2 linked regions of the Mytilus edulis genome follow. The main gene of each other region encodes a partner of the protein of the gene in region 2 in a complex. Links are inferred from orthologs where the notes say so. Each region holds a gene or a part of one and is shown on either strand. Other genes may lie near its edges.

Region 1 (7,662 bases), on a different chromosome or scaffold from region 2:
TGTACATCCCATATCATTTTGGTGTTTTCAAATTTCTGAAATATGTATTTTTTAATCATTTATAACAAAAAAGTTGAAATAATATGCATTTTGTTCTTAAAACTGAGAAACATCACAAAAATACAAAAAAGACAGAAATTTAACACAAAAAAGCGTCAAAATATGATAAAACTTTCTTATATTAACACCTACCTATAGTTTTTCAAGTAAAATTTATTCAGATTGGTCCACTTCATCTTTAAAGAAAGTATGAAAAAAAGTTTAATTTTGGAACTGTGATTTTTTTCACGATAATAGCCCAAAAATAGATAAAAAACAATGAAAAATGGGAAAATCATCAAAATAAGGCATTTTCAAAGGGCCGTAGCAAAAAAAGAAGTGCACCATCATATGATTTTTTCTTCACCAATTATTTTGTTAGTCATATAAACCCAAAGATCAGGTTAAGAAAAAAAGTTTAATTCTAGACATTTTTTACTCCTTAGACAATGTCAGAGGTGTACATCCTTAACTGTAATTTTTGGTGAAAATTTTGTATGATGATAAAATGTACACTTAACTTTAAGATGATAAAGACTAATTTTGACGAAATTGTAACGGTTTATTTCTTCCTCCGTGATATTTTATCCTGAGGATAATTTGACCCGGTCAATTTTTTCCAGACATGGAATTTCACAGGTTTGATTTTTCCTTAGGAGTGAAAATATATCTGTGTTATGCGGATAGTATGAACCGGTAAATATTTTCCGTTCTATATTTCACAGAACCTTGTGAAATAGAATCCCGCTGACTACTATGTAAGTTACTCGCAATCAATATATACCTGACAATAATTACAAATATATCACAAAGGTAAACAAAATTTGCATATTTCATCAATCAAAGGGAGGTAATTTTGACCAATTTAAATGGTTTTTATAAATTATATTGTGGAAACCCTTTTTTAACAATGCAGACTTTTTGTAAATGACATATATTTTAGGTAGGCAAATCCAGTGTCGGATCATGGGAGGATTCTGGGGGTTGAAACCCAGGGTATTTTTGGACGATTAATGCATAGTTTAATATATTAGATAATTCCCGCGGCACGCAGTAAAGCGTGAATTTATTGTCTTCTCGGTAAGGTATTTCCGAGGCGTAGGAATTTTTGGCGCCAAAAATTGTAGTGGTAAATAGATAGTTATATGAGTATCATTTCTAGCCTTGCGTTCGTACTGTGTACATCAAATTTTTTCATATAAGCATAAAGAATGCTCAATTTGACAATTGTTAATTGTTAATGGTCTGTTATATATAGTTTATATATATATGGTATGGCTATATAGACGTAATCGGATTTGGATTGTATGTTGTCTTATAAATTTTTTATAGCCGTAGTCTTCGGACTAAAACTCCCTTTTATTAAGTTAGATTGAGCATTTTTTGGTACATGAACATTTATGTTATATGAGTGCGGTCCAACACTTAGTTTCGCTTGGCATTGACAAAAGGACGCAGGTTTCCAAAAGGTTTTTCCTGATCGGCCACGAAACAGTACTTTGTGTGTTTTGAATATTGATAATTTGGAAGATGATGGCAAATAGTATTTTGTATATATGTTATGTTGTTATAATATTGCTGTATTGTAATAAAGCGGCAGCTCAGAAAAGATATACGCAGCGAGCTAGTCAACAAAATATACGCAGCGAGCTAGTCAACAAACTTAAGTTTGTAGTTGAGTTATTTTTCTTAGATGCTAAGGTACATGAGTATAGAGAAGACCATCGTATTCTGATCCTTCCATTGCTACTCACTGTTTACAGTAGTAATGACCTTTAATTTTATATTAGTCCTGAAATCTGAAAACAACTCACTTTTACCTGAATTTCACTTATCTTATTTTATGTATATTAAATTAATCATGATGATATTTCACAATAAAGATCTTTAAAATTACTTCTGGTTTTCTTTCATATGTTTCATGATAATTATCTTTTTCATAAGAAATATTTTTACGTCTTGAATATTTCAGGATATTATTTTCAATGATAATCTGTGAAATATTTTCGCTTTAAAATTCACATTTTTTTATCCAATTTAGCATTATATTCAAATATACTTTTGTTATATCACAGTATTTGTCAATAATTAAGTTTTTTAATAACTATTCATTTTTTTAACTACCCGGATATAATTTCACGGCAAAGGAAAAAATTTCCCAGGGAAATATTTTCCTCCGGATAAAAAAACAACAACAACTACTGTGACATTTTTTCCTCGGGATCAAATTTCACCCGGATATAATTTTGCTTTACAAAATCACGTTAATTTTTTTACAAAAATGAAGGTAACAATAATTATTTGAAACCTCTGACGAATCACACTGAATCACAATAAGGGTATTTTGACAAACGGCGGTAAAAATCTAAACACAATTTGATGCTAACTGTATCCAAAAATTACTGTTTGAAGTGTGACGGGATTGCTTCCCTTAGAAAACTTAGTAGATACTTAGTCAGCCGTAAGCAGTTGAGCTAGGGAAGTACTTCTTGAGCTCAGTCGGTTAACACGCTGGCTAGTAACACAGAGGTCCAGGGTTTGAGTCCTGGTGGAGACAAGCAATTTTGTAATGAAATTCATGCTCTCCTGTTACATTGGCGCCCAACAATAAAAACCCACGGTTAGAAGAAATACCTAGTCAGGTAAAAAATAAATATAAAAAAGATGAAGATATCATCATTATAGAGTATAATGACTCTTGAGGTGTGGGAAGTGTGACGGGATTGCTTCCCTTAGAAAACTTAGTAGATACTTAGTCAGCCGTAAGTGGTTGAGCTAGGGAACTACTTCTTTAGCTCAGTCGGTTAACACGATGGCTAGTAACACGTCCTGGGTTTGAATCCAGGTGGAGACGAGCAATTTTGTAATAAAATTTATGCTCTAGGGTTACAGAAGCCTGACGTTAAAGGGCATTACTACCCTCATGGCTATACTATGATCTATGTAAGGATTTGTAAAGTAAGATCTGACTATACAAATCCTTGGTCTATGCAACTTTCAACTTTAATGCAAGCTTATAAAAACTGATTTCATTTTAAAGATTTTAGGCAAAATTTAACCTGTTTTCAAAATCCAAAGTTTCAGCCGGTTCTTCCTTCACACCCACAGCTGAAGCCATAACTTGGTCTTTTATTTATGTACGAAAATCAAAAATAATAAGTCGAAAGGCATGTGGACAAAGTGAAAGTACAAACAGGAAGTTGTGTGTAATTCTAGACTCGCACGCAATAATTCTAACTTAAACTTGTTTTAACTTTTAATAAAATGAAAATTTGTCAATAAAAACAATCGAATGAAGGTATAAATATTTATTTCATTATTACAATTATTACTTTTATTTTTTTTAAAGGAAGCCATGCGTAAAAATTGTTTTGTGCATTCAATGCAGAGCTACAATATGACCGTGATGACGGAAGTGCAGGTCCCTTATATTTTTTCAATTTTGAAGCCTTTAACCCTTATTTTGACCTATTTTGTCATGTCAAGTTATATCTTTGAAATTATTTTTATTTATATTTTTCAGACTGAAATAGTAGAAGGGTGTAGAGTGCCAGTTTTATTGAAGAATGGCGATGGATGGCGTAAGTTATGCTAAGGGAGACAATCAAATCATGTAAACACACAATGGGGTCATAATATGGAACATTCAAATGTGTGCAAATATTTAATGCATTACAGTTATTAAAATATTTATGCTTTGTCTGTTTAAAAAATATAGTTTTGAAACCAGATCCTTCCGTAATGACATGGAAATGATTCTGATTTATGTGACCATTTTTTTCTCAGATTATCCATCATTCTAGTAAAGCTGTATACACCTCATTGCTAATCCAGGCTGACCCGAGAATCTGTCCAGCTTTAACTATTGACGTTATATAACAATCACTTTTCCATTGTGGTATCAGATATTTTGTATTAAGACATCAAAAGAATATGAGGCAGGCATTACCTGTGAAACGGACGAAATCTGTATGCATATTTTTTTTTGTCGTAACGTTTCAGATTTTGGTTCTGATGTTTTTTATGTTATGACGTCATATTCAATGTTAAAAAAGAAACAAAGAAACGCTATCATCAAATTCACCTGACAACTAGACCGGTAAAGAAAGTAGATTTCTGAGCAAATGCAGGAATTTAAAAAAGTCTGAAAATAATTTTGAGCTCATTAGTAGAATGAAAATTTTGGTAAATTTCCTGATTTTTTAAAATTTTGATTTAATTTATTTTATCACATATTACTGGAACCTGTGTGATGTCCAGGATTGAGGAATGGCAGACAAATAGCGATAAGGTGTATAGCAGGGTCTGTATGGGTCCTTGAATCCTGGAAAAGTCATGGATTTTTATTTTTTGGGGGAAAAGGCCTTTAAAAGTCATGGAAAGCTATATTTTAGTGAACAGTCGTGGAAAGTTATTATTGTTTGAACTGTAAACTTTATTAGGTGTCTATAAATATTTTTCATAGTTTTTGTCAAAACTGTTTCCTCAATAGAGCTACAAACAATGTCCCAGTTTGATAGCCAGTCTTGGTAAATGTAAAATGAGGATTTCAAAATTCGCTTCTTCATAATTTTTGGTAAAACTACATGTATATGACTGAAACTGGTTCCCTGTATGTCAAAAATTGTTGCAGTTTGCTTCATTCAATAACATTATCAGTATAAGATACCAGTTGTCGAATATTTTTAAAAATGTCTAGTCAATGATCAGTTGATTCAAGAGAAAAATGCCTGGTTACTGCCATTTTCAGTTTAAATGGTTGGAAAACCCAGAGAGGCAAAGTACAAACAATGGCTGGTGTAAAAAAACAACGGAGAATCTGCATTGAAAAGCCACTGTAAGAGCTCAAAACACATCCAACACTCAACTTAACTGAAAAGTTTCAACATTTTACTACATTATTCAATTGATTCAAATATTTCAAAACTTGAATAAACACTTATACTGATGTGTAGTTCATCCTCTTTCAAAGAATTTATATATTACCCTTTGGTTTCCTGTTTTTTTGGGTATGGAATTTTCATAAAACATCCTTGAAAAGTCATGGAAAAGTCATGGAAAAATGGAACAGAAGAGGCGTATGAACCCTGGTATAGATGATATGATGACTTGCCCTAATTATAGCTGATTTTATGATGACAAGTTATTTTTGTGAAAATCAATAAAATATCGTTCAAACTAAGTCACTTCAAATTTGTTATAATCACATTGATTTCATCACAGAAGGGTACAGAATGCAAATGAGGTATTAATACAAATATAATATAATACAAAAATGGTGCTGATACAATCCCAGTATTTGCTTATTTCACTAACCATTATTAAACACTTCAAATTAAATAAATCACTCTTATATTGGTAATTTTTTAGGACAACTTATATAATTGCTTCACGATAATGACGTCACATATTTCATTGAAAAAGTATGCATAGTACGAATTTATATTATGTCCTACGAAAACATGATCTGACTTTAATGCCCCATGACAATTTTATTTACATCTGCATGTATATTTGTGCACCATTTCTAAAAACCATAAAAAATTCTGCAAAAATTTGACTTCCTAAAAAAAACAATTGAAATTGTTGCAAGACATCAGAAAATTATTTAAAGATAGATATAGGGTCATTCGTGGAAAATTCAGCTGAACACTAAAAAGGGTCATTAGGTCTATATGTAACCATTTTGAGCTCTGTTTGTTATGTTCACCTTATAGGAAATTGAAAAATGAGTTTTCTAATATCTATCCTTAAATAATTTTTTCCTTCATGTAGAATCCTATTGTTTATTTTGGCTTTATTTGTCCATAAGGGAGAAATCTAACAGTAGTATAAAAACATTTTGGTGTTGCATTGAACTTTATAAAGATTTTTACATATTTTATAGACTTTGCTGAGATACTTGGAAAGAAAGAAGTCAATGGAAAGCACATGTTCTATATTCATTATGAAGATTGTAAGTATATTTGCAGTACACGGAAGGTTATTCAATTAAAAGTCAGTCTTGATGGTGATCATGAGTGATTCACTTTGGCATATGTTTGTACATGTGCTACATATGACATGGTCGTAAATTTGAGTACATAACTGAACACCAGCAACAACAGAACAATGAGGTTTTACTACTGTAAAAGTAGAAATTTTCGTTAAGGATTTAATTCGTTTATTTCTTGAAATAATATATCAGCGAAATTAAAAACCCCGCAAAATTTAAACTTCATATAATATAACACTTCCATTTAATGGAAACCATGAAATTTTGACCCCACGAAAATGAATGTTTCTACAGTAATTACCTTTTGGGAATTGTCTTTTCTTATCGTATCTAACTGTCTCAGTTGCATTGTCATAGTGTCCCTTGACTGAAGGAGGTTGTTATTATTTGATACCTATATGATAATCTAATATTAAAGTGACAACATAATTTACAAGTTCAAAACAAACTGCAGAACCTAAATTTTGTTTGTATTAATTAGTTGGTTGAAATTACAATCGGTCTATTTTCCTTGCCTCTATTGTGTATTTAATAAACGAATTATTGTTAAAACAGTTATATGACGATCCTCTATTCTTTGTTTATTTTTAGTCAACAAACGTTTGGACGAATGGGTTCCCGAGGAAAGGATGGACATGAACAAGTTAGAACCACCAAGGAAAGACCAGAAAACTCCCAAGAAAGAAGCTGCCAGTAAATTAGGATCTGGTCCAGGATCAAGACCTTCCAGTCCAGAAAGGGAAATAGTTATAGTTGTAAGAATTTTTGAGGGCATGATAAATTGTAGGCTTTGTCAGCTTATATTTTATATATAAAAAGATTCATATTCTGTAGACATATGAAAAAAATAGTTTCCTTCTATTGAATGTAATTGTTAAGCCAAATGGAATTTCAAAATTTTAGTTAATTCATTATACATATTTTTGCTTTTTAAGGAAAATAGGAAGAATGCCATTTGTAATGGGGAGTCACCACACCAAATATTTAACTGTTGCTTTTATGCCCTACCTAGGGGCGTTACATTTTGGGGTTGATGTGTCCATCTGTCCCGCTTCAGGTTAAAGTTGTTGGTTTAGAAATTTCCTGTTTCATACACATTTCTCTGTAGTAATTTATGATTTCCTTGTGAATCTTGTATAAATTTACGTCATACCAATGTGTGCGTTGTATAGAAATAATATGGAAACACTTTCTAAATAGACAATACAGATACTGACCCAATTTTTCATCCATTATCTTGAGATGACCGTGATCGTATTACAGTCATCAGCTTTACTCCAGTGAATGTGTATCCGAGGATAAAAATATTAGAATTTAAAAGGTCGTGGTTACTCAATCAAATTTGTTTCTTCACATTTAAAATAAGGTTTTACGAAGAAAAAAAATGTGGTTATCAAATTGGTGTTAGGACACGAGGCTGCCAACAGTTTCTATGCAAAAACTTTCAAATCATTTGATATTGACACTTTACCCTTTTATAGTTCAGGAGTAATGGTCCTTGATAGATTGGAAAATGACAATTTATGTTGGTTCTGTGCAATAACTTAAGAACTGTTCAACCAGTGCTTTTCAAAATTTTGAAAATTTTTTGTTAGTGATTACAAAATGGAGGTCAGGTTCAACATTAA
Region 2 (8,022 bases):
ATGTATATTCAATTGTATAATAAATGTAAAAAAAAAAACCACCATGTATCGTTCAAAATATAAATAAAAAAACATACCATGACAGTCAGTTGTAAGAGCGCGAAAATAACGAACTTTTTCCACATTTCACCACAAGTCATAAATCCATCTAATATGTTTTAACAAAACTATGATCTCAAAGAATACTTTTGATATCTAGAACAAGTGTGAATCCCTTCCTGATCGTCTTTTTATCTACATAGGGGGTATTCTAGGGCTTTAAATTCTATTTTGTACAGGTTACAGTGTTGTCAATAAAGTAAACAAATGAACGATATATGTAAAACTATTTTACAGAGTACGACGTAAACTTGTAACGAAGGTTTTCATTGTTAAGTTGATGTGTTAACCCTGTCGGAACCTCTAATGTCTGATATGGATTTTTCAAAATATTAGGATAAGATAATTTCAAGTCCAATTTTTATCAAATGATAACCATAGTTGGGCATATAAATAAATCAAACGAAGAATGTACGTACACTATGATCGTATGTAATCGCTGATCAAAATTGGACAGTAATGTTGGATAGGTATTAAATGACTCCGCAAAATGTCGTCCTTATGTCGAACTGTTGTTACATCACTGTCCGAGGTTACAGGATTAGAGATGGCATCAGCAAAAAACTACACCACACTCTGTATGTGACTGTCTAGAGTCAGGAGTCTGTTATTCAGTGGTTTTCATTTGTTACTTGTTATGCCCCACCTACGATAGTAGAGGGGCATTATGTTTTCTGGTCTGTGCCTCCGTCCGTCTATGCGTCCGTTCGTCCGTTCGCTTCAGGTTAAAGTTTTTTTTCTTCAAATTCGAGTTTTGACCCCAATTTCACGGTCTACTGAACATAGAAAATGATAATGCGAGTGGGGCATCCGTGTACTATGGACACATTCTTGTTTTGTACATAAATCAGACCGGCGTTAGTTTTCTCGTTTGAATTGTTTTACATTTGTCATTTCGGCACCTTTTATAGCTCACTTTTTTCAATTCAAAAGCTTTATTTATAGTCGGCATGTTACATAACAAATAAACATAAGCTCTCTGAGCTTTTATGACCGACAATGATAATTTGCAGTGGCGGATCCGGGGGTTTCGGGGGTAAGAACCCCTTTTTTGGACGATCAATGCATTTGAATTGGTGTATGTAGTTGGACCCCCCCCTTTTTTTTTGCCCTTTTGTCCTGGGTTAGAAACCCCCTTTTTAAAATGGCTGGATCCGCCCCTGCTTTGCGATACGGAATTATTTTATTGTTGACGTATAATTGTTAACATCCACGTTATTGGGTCTATGGTATGAAGTTTCTTCTTGACAATCATCACCACATCTTTTTATTTTTTTTATTGGAAAATGATATAAAGAAAATATATTCAAGTTGAAATAATAATTATAGTGTCCATATACTATATGTCACAGTTATGTCAAACAAACAAGGCAAACAAATGCTGTTATTGGAGAATTTAAGCTGGATAAACAACAGATCGAAAAAGAATGGAAGACCACTACACAGGTAAATAATTTCTTGTTTAATAAGTCAAAAAATCACTATTCTAAGAATTTAGATATTTTTTTAGGCCATTTTTTTATGATCTTGAACAAAAACTTCCTTTATACCAGGATCACCGTATGACACAACAAATTGTTAAAAATTCATTTTATGGAATTAGACTTAAAAATGACATCCCAACAAAATGACTCTTCAATCACGTATTATTAGCTCGCATATTTCACTTTCATATTCGAATTAACGTATAAATCTTCCAATGCATGCATTCTATTAAAATTTAAAATACCAAATACTTTTGCTTTTACATATGCCCGCGTCACACTGTCCCGATTTTTACGCCGATGACAACACGATTATGGAAATTTTCAAAATCGGGACTGATCGTATCCAGATCGGGCTATTCGTAGTGCCATCTTTAACCATCGTAGAACCATCGGCCACTTTTTTTTAGCCTTCGGGGACAACTTCGGGAAGGGTTCTAAATTTTTTAACATGTTAAAAAATCCCCTAAGGTGCGTCCGATGTTGAGGGTTCGTATTGAGTTCGTATCACCATCCTCACCATCGTAATGTCACCGGGAATGCATCTTTGAACATCGTATTGCATTCGTGTTTCCATCGTTTCCATCGGGCAGTTTTGACATTACGATGTCTACACGAATGAATCACGAAGCTACCCGAAGGTCTTACGATGGCAACACGACTTCGTGAAGACCTCGTAATCCCGTCGTGTTGCCATCGAATAAAAGTACGAAGGCGACAAGATGGAACTACGACGGCAATAAATCCAGCTAAATGTAAGTTAATTTTTGCGCTAAAATACATTTAAAGTGCCATGCGCGATATGCACTGGTCAGTCTAATACGACAGTTAAGGAAGACGTTCACAAAACATGGAGCTCATATCATATGATACTATGAGAACAAGAAAGTCGACAGCGGCGTTGTTTCTATTAATTCAAACGGAACAAGAAGAGCAACTGTTACAGGCTCAGGATTTACAAGTAAAATATTATTTTTTGTCAATTTTTCATATCAAGTAACATAATGAAAATCATAAATGCGCCTCGTACACCAACACTGCAGGTACACGTATATAGGGAAACCAACTTTTTCTTCATTATTCTGATTTTTTATGTATCGACTGAGTTGTTGTCACAAGAATGTTTACTCCATAACCATTATGTTTCTATATGTCACATTTTGCCGCATTTGTTGCTTTCCCCACATCCTCCCTTTTGTCTATATTATTATGATATTCTCCTGGAAAGAGCTATTTTTGAATAAAAGGGATCAACGAACCCATTACCTTACCTTTAAGATAGATCAGTAAACATGGGCATAATTATGGGTGATTATTCAGACTAGTGCACACATTTTACAGTTCAAACAAGGCAATGCCGAGCGTGGCATCCCCTCGTATGTAACATATTGGGGACAAATATGGACACTATATTTGTATATGACACATACAGAAAATGGTAAATTGAATATGCATATTTATATATTCAATATTGATCAAACAATTTAAAACGCGTGATGCCGTAAATGCATTGTAAGCTGTACACGACGTCTTTTAGACATCGTATGGCCATCGCGCCATCATCGTAATCCATCGTGTAGCCTTCGTAATCCATCGTGTAGCCTTCGTGATCCATCGTGTAGGCTTCGGCTGAGATATGAAGCTTAAATACCCGTCTTCGGTTAACCTTCGTATGTCCATCTTTTGCTATCGTATATAATTTCGGCACCATCGTACAGACTTCGTTATTCATCGTACTTGCTTCAGTCACTTTTTGGTATTTTAACGAGATCGGGACCAACTTCGTACGAACTTACAATTTTCGCATTCGTGTGTCCATCGTATATAAAAATCGGGACAGTGTGACGCGGGCAATAGTGATATATCGATTTATCGGTAATTGGTCCTAACGGGCTCGTCTAGATATTCCACATGATATAGTCAGTATCAAAAACGAAACTACCTATTATTCTATTTGTAATACATAGTGAGATTCAGCATATCAAAGTACCCAAAGAGTTCATTATATTTTTTATGAAATCTAACCGAGTTTCATTTTCACCCATTTGAGCTCAGTGTCTACCAGTTTGATAACAGGGCCCAAATTCCAAAATCAATAGACACGGTTAGAGTCAGCTCTAAGGAATTAATTTTTTTGTTAGAATCAAACAAAGTTTTATTTTCAGACCCTTTGGAACCCTTTGGACCATTTGGGCCTTAATGTGGACCAATTTGAAAGCAGGTCCAATATTCAAAAGTCTAAATATACGGTTAGATAAGGCATATATATCAAAGATACACAATAATTCAAAATTCAAATGAGCCTCAGTTATTTAACAACGGGGCTCAAATTTCGAAATCTTTACACATAATTAGATTCAGCATATTAAAGATCTTTGAGAATTCAAAACCTTCAACTAGACCCCGAAGGACCAAGTGAGCTTTTCTCATCACTTTGCGTCCGTCGTCCGTCGTCGTTAACTTCTACAAAAATCTTCTCCTCTGAAACTACTAAGCCAGATTTAACCAAACTTAGCCACAATCATCATTGGGGTTTCTAGTTTAAAAAAATGTGTCCGGTGACCCGGCAAACCAATCAAGATGGCCGCCATGGCTAAAAATAGAACATATGGGGTAAAATGCAGTTTTTGGCTAATATCTCAAAAACCAAAGCATTTAGGGCAAATCTGACACAGGTAAATTTGTTTATCAGGTCAGGATCTATCTGCCCTGAAATTTTCAGATGAATCGGACAACCCGTTGCCCCTGGTTGGTGATTTAAAGGAAGTTTTGACGTTTTTGGTTATTATATCTTGAATATTATTATAGATAGAGATAAACTGTAAACAGCAAAAATGTACAGCAAAGAAAGACCTCAAAACAAGTCAAATATGACCAAAATGGTCAATTGACCCCCTAAGTAGTTATTCAGCCTTTATAGCCAATTTTTAACAATTTTCCGTTAAAATTTGTAAATTGTTACTAACATTTTCCACTGTTACTACAGGGCCAAGTTCATTATAGATACAGATAATTGTAAGCAGCAATAATGTTCAGTAAAGTAAGATCTATAAACACATCAACATCACCAAAACACAATTTTGTCATGAATCCATCTGTGTCCCTTGTTCAATATTCACATAGACCAAGGTGAGCGACACAGGCTCTTTAGAGCATCTACTGTAGTTTTATAAATGGTGCAAGTTAGCCTACCTTTATTAAGCAGAACTTTACTCACATTCATTACTTAACCGATATATCCGTCTTTCATTCACGGAGAATTTTATAGCGGGATTTAAGTCTTTTACATTAGTGGGACAGTTGATATTAAGCGAGTGAACTTTTGGGACGATATTGCAGTAGGACGAGTGTGGGTCATTCGTTAGGGAGATCAAAAAAAGATGTCTGCGCCCATGACGAAATGTAAAATATGAGAAAATAAACTTATTTATTAAAGATATGTCGTCCTCTGACAAAACAGATCTTTCAGCACCTATCAAAAGTGTTGAGGTAAGTTTTAGAACATGCGTAGTCTAGATATATTGATAATAGTTTTAAAAGCTATAGCTAAGACAGCAGCCGGCCTCTAACAGTCTAAATTATTAAAACACCGCTAGAAGTAAAAGGAGGACATTTGACCACAATTTGGCTCAAAGGAGTCTAATAAGAACTCAAAGGGTAAGGGACAAGACATCCATTTCATCCGAAAAATCAATTTGGTAAAATAAACGAAAACTCATGAGACAATGTAAAGCCAGTTCAGTACACAGATATTTGGGGCATGCACCCCCCTTTTCTTTTTCACTAAAAAAAGTTATCTACACTGTATCGACATATATAAAGTCTCAACAATCCATTACTAGTCGATTACAATACCTATTTTTACTATCCATACGAGCCCAAAGTGAAAAAAAAGGGGGATCCATGTGTGACAAAATATTTGTTCAGGCGTGTCAGACATTTGTTCCATCCGAAACAAATTTCATAGGAAATATGTTCCACCAGTATTTATATCACAGAAGCACTGTGAAACTTGTTCTGGAACTAATTTTTTTATCAAATGTGAAATAAGTCATTTGTTGTTTACAAGTTCCAGAACAAAAATCACAGCTCTATGAATTTTGTTCCAATAATATGAGGCAGGCATAACCTGTGAATGGGGAAGAAGTCTGTATGTATTAATTTTTTGAATTCAATCCCGTTGATAAAAGAAACCGAAATACCGTACGTAGACGTTCCCGATTTTGATTCTGTTGTTAGGGAATTAGCTGTGACGTTCTTTAAGTTATGACGTCATATTCGATGTAAACAAAAGAAATGGTTCATCAGGTAACGTTTTTTCATATCAAACAATTATTAAAATTGAATTTGTATTGAGATCCAATCTTATATTTTACTAGACTGATAAATATAAATTTTTTCAAAGTCTCATGCAAACAAGACAGATATCTGTGCAAAAGCGGAGAAAACTTGAACAGGAAGTAGATCTGACAAAAAAAAGTTAACGATTTTGAGTTCATTAGTAGAATGAAAAATTCGGGAAATTTTCCCGATTTTTTTTTTTTTTTATTGATTTTTCTACCGTAATTGGGGACTTCGTCCCCATAATATGAGGCAGGCATAACCTGTGAATGTGGACAAAGTCTGTATGTATTATTTTCTTACCTCAAACATGTTAATAAAGGAAACGGAAATACCGTAACGTTCCCGATTTCGGTTCTGTGGTTAGGGATTTAGCTGTGACGTTGTTTAAATTATGACGTCATATTCAATGTAAACAAAAGAAACGCTTCCATCAGGTAACGTTTTTTTCAAATCAAACAATTATTTAAAATGAAATTGTATTGAGTTCCAATCTTATATTTTACTAGACTGATACATGAGCCAGTCCATGCGAAAAGGTACAAAAAGTCCTTTTGGTAAACTTTACAGGACACGTTATCAAAGTTTGTTATAGTATTTTTGAAAAACGATTTTATCCGAAAAAAAATTACATTAATGTAAACATTCATAAGATTGTCAATTCTATCCCGAATTTGTCAACTAAAACCGAAAAAGACGTAGAAATATCTGAATTTTTGGTATTTGAGCAAGTGTAAAATCATTTGTTCCCCGGACTAATGCTATACCGACCAGAAACTACAAAAAATTATGACACTTCAGAGACAAAAGTCAATAATTTCCGTCAGTTCTACAGGTTTAAAGAAAGAAAGACAACATTAAAACATGAGGGAAAATGCAAAAACTATGACATCTTGTGTTTTAGAAATTGAAATTTAAGTTAAGTTAAGTTATTTAATATTATATAAATCAACCTTAGTTGCACGGGATTCGAACCGTTGCCCGGTTTGATTGCATTGTTATCCGCATCGTAAGCGAGAGCCTTATCCCCACTGCTACCAGGTTTAACATTATCAATTGGCAAATCAAGCCATTTAAACTGTACTTTGAAAATGATTGAAATATATGAAATAATTCACTAAAAATCTTGATAAAACTAGGGGGGGGGGGGTCTCAACACTCGCAGGTGCGTGTAGCTCACAGCTTGATGATATGAGGGAAAGTAAATGTGTTTTATAAATCACAAGTCTACTACCAATAATTATGCACACTTTTTAGAATTTCGTAAATTTTTCGTTTTTGTACCTGTTCACATGGACTGGCTCACATATAATTTTCTTTTCAAAGTCTCATGCAAACAAGACAGATTTCTGCGCAAATGCGGGGAAAACCGGAACAGGGACTAGATCTGAAATAAAAAGTTAACGATTTTGAGTTCATTAGTAGAATGAAAAATTCGGGAAATTTTCCCGATTTTTTTTCATTTTTTTTTTTTATTGATTTTTCTACCGTAATTGGGGACTTCGTAAAAATAAGAAAAAAGAGGGAAATAAGTCCCTGTGATATTAGTTTTGAATGAAGATATTTCATAGAAATAAATAAATAAGTCCTGCTCAAACCTTTTTCACAGAAAATAAATACCTTTCAGCAGTCTGCACGGTTAGCCACTAGTCCGATGCCCCAGACTAGTAAAATTTCATTTGGACTAGTGAGTTTTTGCAAAACTTTGTTTGGCCAAATAAGAAAAATGTCAGAATATTGGTCTTCGGACTAGTAGTTGAAAAAGTTTTTGGTGCAGACTGCCTTTGCAACAGTGAAATATTTTCTTGTAACACTTAAAACGTTATAATGCAAAATGGATGCTGTACTGTGCTTGCATTGAGTACATTTGCAATTGAAGGAATGATTTGACTGTAGGATGAGAAATAAAAGCGATGGCAGTGTATCATAATTTGTATAAATTTATGTTTATGTTGTATTCAACCTCTGTCACATGTCTGAGTTTCCTAGCTGTATACTTTTTTTCAGAATGATTTTTCTCATTCTACTCTTTTTTAGCTTATTAGTGACATTTTGGGTATTTTTATTCTAAAAATATTTGCTTTACTCCACAGGATCG

What was found.
Region 1: DNA-directed RNA polymerase III subunit RPC2-like (region 2) and DNA-directed RNA polymerase III subunit RPC6-like share a complex: the UniProt entries of both Drosophila melanogaster proteins name them as parts of the RNA polymerase III (Pol III) complex. The link is inferred for Mytilus edulis from reciprocal best matches to the Drosophila melanogaster genes Polr3B and Polr3F.

Annotation. Positions count from the first base shown.
Region 1 is NC_092346.1:17,924,425-17,932,086, reverse strand, and holds the start of DNA-directed RNA polymerase III subunit RPC6-like, read right to left. Parts: upstream 3,245-7,662; 5' UTR 3,158-3,244; coding exon 3,099-3,157; intron 1-3,098. Other genes in the region: histone acetyltransferase KAT5-like, read left to right, coding at 3,422-3,460, 3,563-3,620, 5,927-5,995, 6,626-6,789. UniProt on the Drosophila melanogaster protein: DNA-dependent RNA polymerase catalyzes the transcription of DNA into RNA using the four ribonucleoside triphosphates as substrates. Specific peripheric component of RNA polymerase III which synthesizes small RNAs, such as 5S rRNA and tRNAs.
Region 2 is NC_092353.1:2,999,985-3,008,006, forward strand, and holds the start of DNA-directed RNA polymerase III subunit RPC2-like, read left to right. Parts: upstream 1-4,939; 5' UTR 4,940-5,021; coding exon 5,022-5,072; intron 5,073-8,022. UniProt on the Drosophila melanogaster protein: DNA-dependent RNA polymerase catalyzes the transcription of DNA into RNA using the four ribonucleoside triphosphates as substrates. Second largest core component of RNA polymerase III which synthesizes small RNAs, such as 5S rRNA and tRNAs.